Linked DNA regions of Callithrix jacchus. The protein of the gene in region 1 interacts with the protein of each later gene in a biochemical or structural test. Links are inferred from orthologs where the notes say so. Each region holds a gene or a part of one and is shown on either strand. Other genes may lie near its edges.

The links.
Region 2: the proteins of CD244 (region 1) and SH2D1A interact in a biophysical measurement, tested with the Homo sapiens proteins (2 studies listed by IntAct). The link is inferred for Callithrix jacchus from reciprocal best matches to the Homo sapiens genes CD244 and SH2D1A.

Annotation. Positions count from the first base shown.
Region 1 is NC_133519.1:20,771,376-20,775,940, forward strand, and holds the start of CD244 (natural killer cell receptor 2B4), read right to left. Parts: upstream 2,922-4,565; 5' UTR 2,732-2,921; coding exon 2,671-2,731; intron 1-2,670. UniProt on the Homo sapiens protein: Heterophilic receptor of the signaling lymphocytic activation molecule (SLAM) family; its ligand is CD48.
Region 2 is NC_133524.1:120,100,045-120,104,505, forward strand, and holds the start of SH2D1A (SH2 domain-containing protein 1A), read left to right. Parts: upstream 1-1,558; 5' UTR 1,559-1,646; coding exon 1,647-1,783; intron 1,784-4,461.

The DNA.
Region 1 (4,565 bases):
GGAGGCTGAGGCAGGAGAATTGCTTGAACCGGGGATCGGGGGCGGGGTGCGTGGAGGTTGTAGTGAGCCGGGATCAGACCTCTGCACTCCAGCCTGGGCGACAGAGCGAGACTCTGTCTCTAAAAAATAATAATAACGATAATGATATGAAATAAAAATGTATATGATAACCTGAATCATATGAGAGAACACCAAACCCAGATTAAGGAACCCTCTACAAAACAATTGGCTTATCCTCTATCGAGAATGCAGTATCATGAAAGATGAAGAAAAGCTGAAGTATGGTCACAGACTGGACATGAGAAACATAACAACTGAATGTGATACATGATCCTGATTGCATCTTGGGTCAGCAAAAAAATAAACTAAAATAAAGCATATTCTTGGGACCATGGGTAATAGGTGAATATGGGTGGCATATTTGATGGTATTAACGTTAAATTTACTAAATTTGATAATTGTGCTGTAGTAATGGTGAAACCCATCTCTAATAAAGATACAAAAATCAGCTGGGCATGGTGGTGCATGCCTGTAATCCCAGCTACTCAGGAGGCTGAGGTAGGAGAGTTGCCCGAACCCAGGAGGCGGAGGTTGCGGTGAGTCGAGATCGCGCCATTGCACTCCAGCCTGGGTAACAAGAGCGAAACTCCGTCTCAAAAAAAAAAAAAAAGAATGCCTTTGTTCATAGGATATAAGTGCTAAAATATTTAGGAGCAAAGGGGCATAAAGTCACAACTTATTCTTAAGTGGTTCAACAAAAATTATTATACACACATACGCATACAGCTAGAGAAAGAGAAATAAAGTAAATATGATAATGTGTTCCCTGGTGAATCTAGGTGAAAAAATTCAAGAATCCTTTGAACTATTTTTGCAGCTTCCCTGGAACTTCGCAATTATTTCAAACTAAAAGGTTTAAAAATTAAATAAATAGGGAGGCTTCAGTCAGCTTACACCAGGCCAGCCTCACAGACACAGGACAGAGGAGGAAGAACCTCAGGGAGACCCAAGTCCATCCCTCTCTGTGCCTGAGTTACTCACCAGCTTCACCCTACAAGGGCCAGCATAGCTAAGCCCAGATATGGCGCTGAAGACCTGGGAATGGGGCTGGAGGGAGCATTGCCCTCTGTCACACAGGCTCATAACCTCAGCTTCTCGGTCATGCTCATCCCCACAGCCAGGCACCAATCCCATCAGTCCTCCTTCAGCTCTCTGAACTGCTTTCAAGGCTCCTTAGACCAGATTCCAACCTAGCTCTCCTGCCCGGAATCCTGGGCCACTGGGTCCCCGCTGCCCACTCACAAGAGCTTCAGGCTCCACACCTCCCTCCCTGCTCCCTGTCTCTCATCAGGCTCTGCCCTAGGCTTCCTGTATCCTTACAAATGTCGAGTCCACCTGAGCCTTGACCACATCTTCCTGAAGGACACAAGAATGCTCAGGGACTCAGTAAGTGAACTGAGTACCTGGGCATGGAACTTTATTGCATATGGGGATTGTACCCAGCCCTGAACCCACACACTATGCCTCAGTTTCCCCTCTTTGTGCCCAGAGTGTACCCTCTTCTCACTCCACACTCTCCACCCCTGTGAAACCCCTTTAGAGTCACTGATCTAAAATGCAAGATCCCAGTCGGGCATGGTGGTTCACACCTGTAATCCTAGCAATTTGGGAGACCAAGGTAGGCAGATCACCTGAGGTCAGGAGTTCAAGACCAGCCTGGCCAACATGGTGAAACCTGGTCTCTACTAAAAATAAAAAAATTAGCCAAGCATGGCGGCACATGTCTGTAATCCCAGCTACTCAGGAGGCTGAGGTGTAAGAATTGCTTGAACCCAGGAGGTGGAGACTGCAGTGAGCCGAGATCATGCCACTGCACTCCAGCCTAGGAGACAGAGGGAGATTCCATCTCAAAATAAATTAATTAATTAATAAATTAAATTAAATGCGGGATTCAGGTTTCAGAGCATCCTGGACTCCAGGGCTGGAGAAAGAGAAGAGCAGCCCTCAGCTGGGATCCCCGGGAGTAAACATTCGATGGCTCCGTGCCTGGCTGACAGCTTTAGGTTTGCTGTGGAGCTTCCTCATATTGTCTCCTTCTCCGCCCCAAGCAAACAAGTCCCTAATAATTTCCAGGCTCCTGTGGCATCTAGGTGGCTGAAGAAACCGGGGAGCTGAAGGACCAGGCCATGCAGCTTCTTCCTGGCTGCTGGCCTCACCCTCTCCTCCTCGGGCTCAGCTCTCCTGCCTCAGGGATCCATCTGTCTGTCTCTGAGCTCCAGAACCACACAGCTTCCTTGGAACTGCTTCTCCTCTCTCATGCCACAATTGGAGGATGCAATTTTCTTCATCTTTATAGGCAACTGGAAGAAGGCTTGTCTCCCCACTACATGGAAAGGTAAATCGAAGCCAGTGGGAAGGAATCTCCTTACCCAAGACTTCCCGGATTGCAGGCAGCAGGGCAGGATGCCCCTCTCACAGATTTGCCAGTGTACTGCCAGCCTGTCCTGTCTGATTTAGAATGTCAGAGCTGTCAGGAGCTGCTCGGAGTCACAGTTCCAGATGACTGTGTATGTGGCACAAGCAGTGGCTCTGGCTCTGATCTCTCCGAGGGGCACAGTCCTTAGCCCATCATGTGAGTCCCCCACCCCATGCAAGGTAGGACCTCCTTACCTTTTCCCTGATACCCCTTGAGGAGCAGGAGGAGTGTGAGGGTGACCACTTGCCCCAGCATCCCCACAGGACAGCGGGACCAGGCCAGCCCCTCCACCCCACCAGACACTGTGCTGTGCACGGGCTCAGCAGCCCCCAGTCAGCAAGAGGACGATGGGGAGCAGTCCAGCCAGTTTCCTCAATTCGAGGCGTGAACACCTGCTGTGAGCTGACAAGGCCACTGAGAAAGCCCCAGCGCCTGGAGCTGGTCTGCTGGTTCCCACAGCCAAACTAGTGAAACTTACCTCAAGTGGGAGGGTGCTTGAAGCTCACAGTGACTCACAAAGCCAGTTTCAAAATCGCATCTCTTTCTCTGCTTCAGCCCAAGAAATGTTCCAATTCTCTGAATCCTACTGGAAATATGGAGACACCCATATGGGGGCCAAACAGCCAGCATCCCAGGCTGTTCCATTCCAACAGACGTTGTGGAGATGGAGTAAAGAGGGGCTGGAGAAGGAGTGGGCTGAGAAGCAGGATAAGTGGCTAACAATGTTGAAGGAGCGGAGTAGTAGCTGAGGAACAAAGGAGAGATCTAAGGGCTGGAGGCACCAGAAAAATCTAACAAGCCTGGGGATTCTATGCAAGTTGACACCACAGCTTAAGCACATCCAAATTAAATTTATTTCATAAGAATTTGTTTTGCACCTAGCTTGGTGGCTCACACCTGTAATCCCAGCACTTTGGGAGGCTGAGGCAGGCAAATCACTTGAGGTCAGGAGTTCAAGACCAGTCTGGCCAACATGATGAAACCCCATCTCCACTAAAAATACAAAAATTTGCCAGGCACAGTGGCATGTGTCTGCAATCCCAGTTAATTGGGAGGCCTAGGCAGGAGAATCACTTGAACCCATGAGGCAGAGGTTGCAGTGAACCAAGATCACCCCATTACACTCCAGCCTGGGCGACAGGGAGAGACCCCATCTCAAAAAAAAAATCTGTTTTGCTCCACATTTCCGATCTGTGTGTCTAGATTACCTCCCTTCCTCTTTTTCTACTTTTCCATGGTAGTTCTCTTTTCTCTCTTTTGCCTTCTCCCAAAAATGACATGGGTCTATTTTTGCTGCCTTTCCATCCATGTTTGGATGCGACCCTCCAGGGAAGGCCAGGCAGCTTTGGATCTGCTCAGGCCCCCATGAAGGGGTGGGGACAGCGGCTTCCCCGCCCCCCTGGAACATTGTGCTTCAAGGCCAGGCCACAGGGTTCATGCCTTTCTTTCTTCCTTCTGCTTTCCCCTTAATGACAAATACTTTCTGTTCCCTTCCAGTTCACCCTTCTTCCCTTTTTCCATGCTTTGATCCACTTTCAGCCACCCTGTCTGAACTGGGCAGGGGGCAGCAGACTGACAGCTTCCGCTGCCAATGGAGGCAGCAGCGGGGCTCTGGACAGAGCACTGGATTTAAAGTCAAAGACTTGGACTTCAGGCTCCCATTCAGCAACTTACAACCTTTGTGACTCTGGCCAAGTTACTCTCTGAGCCTGTAGGGTCAACAATACCTGCTCCCCACCTTCACAAGGTAGTTTTCAGTATCAAATTAAAAATGAAACTTGAGAATACGCATACAAAAAACAATGGACATAGGTGAGGTTTTGTGGTTTTGTTTTCATTTTTTTTTAAGCCCTGAGTAGCATTTTCCAGCTGGTCTAATGGTTATCATCTCTTCTCTCCTCTGTCTCCTTCCAAGGGCCAGCCCTCAACCCCGGGGAATTTCCTCAATGGGTCCCCAAGACCACCCATTTCTGAGACAAATTGTAAGTTTGAGTTGATCTGGCCATGTCCTTAACCTTGAGAAGTGGTGCACAAGACATAATATAACAAAGAAGGGTAAACTTCCTCACATGACAGGTGGAAAACAAGA
Region 2 (4,461 bases), on another chromosome or scaffold:
TGATCCAAAGCATGAAAAAGGGTAAGAAGTAGAGTTGGTCAAAAACATGTGAGAAAGAAAGATGATAAGAAAATATCGGCCCAGTTCCCCAGAGCCATCTCCAATATCACCTTGAATGCTTTTTTATTAAATCTTAATGCTGAAAATGACTGTAGGAGATTTATGTTTATACTTTGCATAGTAAGGCTGGGCACTCTTCAATCAAGAAGAAAAGTTGCTACCAGCTATCACTGAAATCTTAGAGGATTTTTCCTAACCCTAGTCGATGAAGAGCAAATATCTGCCTTTGGTGCAAGTCAGCTCTGTACCTGCAATCCATTGGTAAGACATGTGAGGAATTAAGTATTGCTCTCCCTATTGAGCTCCCAGCATTGCCATATTCTCAAAGAACTACACGCTGAAGTTGCAGAAAGCATATAATAGATCACATAGCTTCAGTTATTTTAATTCCAATTTTACAAGTACTTTGCATAATCTAAAGGTACATGTATAAGACCATTCAGCTTCAGCAATAAATTCTTACTCTAGTGAAAATGCAAGAAGTTTTGGGGAAATATTACCTAGCACATTTTGAAATAGAAGCAATGCTTTATTTCAGAGAAGAAAATGGAGGTTGAAAGGTTTTAAAATATTAAAGACAGTTTAGCATCAATCGAAGAAATAACATTGTTTAGAAACAACAGACAATAAAAGTTACAACAAAATTATCAACGCTTGCAAATGATTTAAAACAGATTTTTTGGACAAAATGCTGAAAGGTGGGCCTTATACACCAAAGGGCACATACAAATTTGCATTAAGACAAATCACCAGTTAAATGTTACATTGTCTCATCTAAAGCCCATCAAATACTTAAATCTGGAACATCTTTGGATGTGCATTGTGACTTTTGTATCTCAACTAGCACTTTGGGACCTTGGACAAGGTGTTAGGAAAGAAATCAATATTGGTCAGGACCAAGACTTCTCAAGATGACTGCATGAGGTAGAAGGAAGAAGGAGAAAAAGAACTTGCCCAAAGTTCACTGTTCATCTGCTATGTCTGATTCTGTAGGAGTCTTCATGGCCGTGTTCAGTAATGATTGCATAATGACAGTACTAATAAAACTATTAGTGTTTTGTTCTCAGAGCTTTTGGTCCTTTCATTCTGTCAGTATGTTTCTGCCCTACATGATGGGTCCACATACCGACAGAGACATGTATAACTTGCCTCTATCATCAACTCCTTACCGGCTGGTTGAGCTAAGTTATTCCTTGTGGCCTCTGAGTAATCTGCAAGAACAGAAGCATTACTAAGCATCCCTATCTGCGTGCAAGGGTGTGTGTTGGCAGTACAGCTCAAATCTTGCAAAATCCTTCTTCTAATTTTCCTCCCCTCTGTAAGAACCCTGTGTTGGGGGGCAGGAGATGGAAGCCCTTGGCAAGCTCGATTAAACCAAGCTACTAAATTGCTGAGCTGGTTTTAATTGAAGTGTGAGAAGGAGGTTTAAGGCAAGTAGACAACATCCTGTTGTTTGGGTGCCTCTCTCTTTTTTGCACATCTGGCTGAACTGGGAGTCAGGTGGTTGATCTGTGCCTGGCTGCAGTAGCAGCGGCATCTCCCTTGTACAATCCTCCTCCTCGGCCTGCCCGAGAGTCCACCAGGCCATGGATGCAGTGGCTGTGTATCACGGGAAAATCAGCAGGGAGACCGGCGAGAAGCTCCTGCTCGCCACTGGGCTGGATGGCAGCTATTTGCTGAGGGACAGCGAGAGCGTGCCAGGCGTGTACTGCCTGTGTGTGCTGTGAGTATTCTGTGGCAGGCAGGGGCCTGCTGAGCATGTGGATGGTGGGCACTGGCAGCTGAGGCCAGGGCAGAGGCTGAGGCGGGCAAGGGTGCTGGCGTTAGCAGCTTGCTGAGGCCTTCTTCATGACCCACCCTCAAGTCTAGTCCAGGGCCGTGAGGGAACACACTTTCGCCTGAGTCCCTCGCTGGGGATTTCATTCCCTGGGCCTCCTGCTCTCCAGAAGGCCCTCACCAGGGGCTTTTGGGGCAGCTGCAGAGAATGCCCTTTAGGGTGGTGAAATATGGTCTAAAGTTTACCTTTGCTCCAAGAAAGACCCAGGCTCCCAACTTCCATTTTAACTCCTATCGGGTGGCTCCGTACTCTAGCTCTCTTTAAATGACTTTTGAAGTGTCATCCCAAAGAAAGAGCATGACATTCAGAGAGAGGAGGCAGATTAAGAAACAGTCAATTACTTTAAGAATGCAATGCCAGTTAGGTCAAGATGCTGAGAGAGGAGGGGGATGTGTGAAAGTAAAATCATCTCTCTGGATCTGCTGATGTAGCATTCTTTAGAAAGGTAGTGTCTGTGAGGGGTGGGGCAGGGGATTTCAGAAATAGGATCCTTCTTGATAAACATTAGGACTCACAGTAGTCTTAAAGGGAATGGAGGGAAAACACCCTTGTTATGATTCAGCTTTGCCCTTTGCCTAGGCATGTCTCAGTCTAAGGCTTCATTTTGAATCAAATTCACCTGTGTCGTTGCTCCAGTGCTCCAGAGTCAGGCAGATCTGAGATGTAGTCCTGCGCTAGTCAGATGTTAGTCTTGTGACCTGGGCAAATTAACCTTTCAGTCCCCCAGTTTTCTTATCCATTGAATAATACTAAAGATATATTATTATTATTATATCTCCTCTTTTCAGTTGATTTCTTTTAGGAATCATGGGGGCATTTCTAAGGAAGTACCTAGCTAGCTCAAGCATTATTGTCAGCGGAATAAAAAAATCCATGAAAACAACAACCCTGCATAGTAGGTTCTAGACAGAAACCAAATGAGGTTAAATGCTTGGTAGTAAGTTCAGCATCTGATGATACACTACAAGAGTTTGAAATACCTTATGGGTCAGTGAAGAAAGATGATCCCGATGCTGGTGTTAGAGGATTTTCACTGTATATTGGTTATTAAAAATGGTCAAGCCTTGTTTGTTGCAGCTCTCCTATCATGCTCTAAATACATTTTTCATAAAGGCTTCAAGGGAAATACGTGGAAGCTATTGATTGTCTTGGGCTTGAATCTTTATGTTTTGCTTATATCATTATTGTTTCCATGTGGAACCTAGGGAAGGGCAAAGAAAACCAGCTGGGATTCTTAGGCTCTTTTCTCATTGAAAGAAGGTGCAGTGGGCAGGTGAAAGGTACTGCTTTAGGGAAGCTGACAAAGGAGATAACATGCTCCTTAACCCAAAGGTGAAAAAGAAAGTACAAAACAAGTCTGGGCAGAGGAGGGACAACAGGGTATAGTGAGAGTCAAGATACACCTAAGGCTTCAGCCTCACTGGGCTCCTGGCCATTTCTCAAGCTCCTAAAAAATGCCCCCACTTAGGATTTCTGCACTTATTGTTCACATGTTTGTTCAACTGTCTCCTCCCTCAGAGAGGACTTGCTTGACCACTACCTAGAACAACTGCTCTCTCCCTGTCCCTGATACACTCGCTCCATCTCTACTTTTCTTCAAAGAGCTTTAAACTATCTGATAACTTGCTTACTTACCTACTTATTGCTGGACGCTCCTGCAAAAATATAATCTCCATGAGGGTAGAGACATTGTCTCCATCACCAGGAACACAGAAACACATAATAGGCACTCAGCAAATATTTTTGAATCAACACACTGTCAAGGCAAATTCTGTTCTTTACTGTAAGAAACTGAATGGACATCGATGGGTTAGGGTGTGGACTCTGGGAAAGTCACTCAAATTCTCTGGGTCTCACTTTCCATATTTATAAAACAGGAATAGTATTGTGTATCTTACCTTCTGCAAAAGATTGCCTTCAGTACAATATATAAGACAGAAGGACAACTTTAGCCTTTTGCCTGTGTAGGCCAGAACCACATAAGGAATTAACTTAGGCAGATGAGAAATTCTCAAGCATTTAACTTTTTGCCCAAAGTGAATCTTGCATAAATGCAGTTTTTATGACCCTTAGTTCTCCATGAAAACCTCCCTGTAAAGTAGCAGAAAATACTGGGCAAATTGGGAGTTCCCTTATGGTGTCTTTCAAATGGTACACTGGGGCCTCAAAGTCTTATGAGACTGTTAGAGTGATAGCCAGAATGTGCTGCAGAGGGAAGATACAAGGATACATTGCCTTTTATCAGAGTTTCTCAAGGTTTTTGAATTGAGAGTCCTTTTTGATAAACATAAACATTTCATTTCCTCTTTTTGGTGCTACACTGTAATGATAAAATCAAATTTTGTTTAGAAATAAACCATGTACTAATTTTAAAACAAAACACTTTTGCTTATGATATGCAGTCAAAATAACAATAGAAGTGGTGTCATATGCACATAGACAACAAGGTATAGCTGATAAACATGCATTGATTGTAGGGTTTACTCAGAGTAGTTTCTCATTCTTTTGTGTACTCCTATTAACCAAGAATATTTAATTGACCTTTTATATTTTATATAAATTTA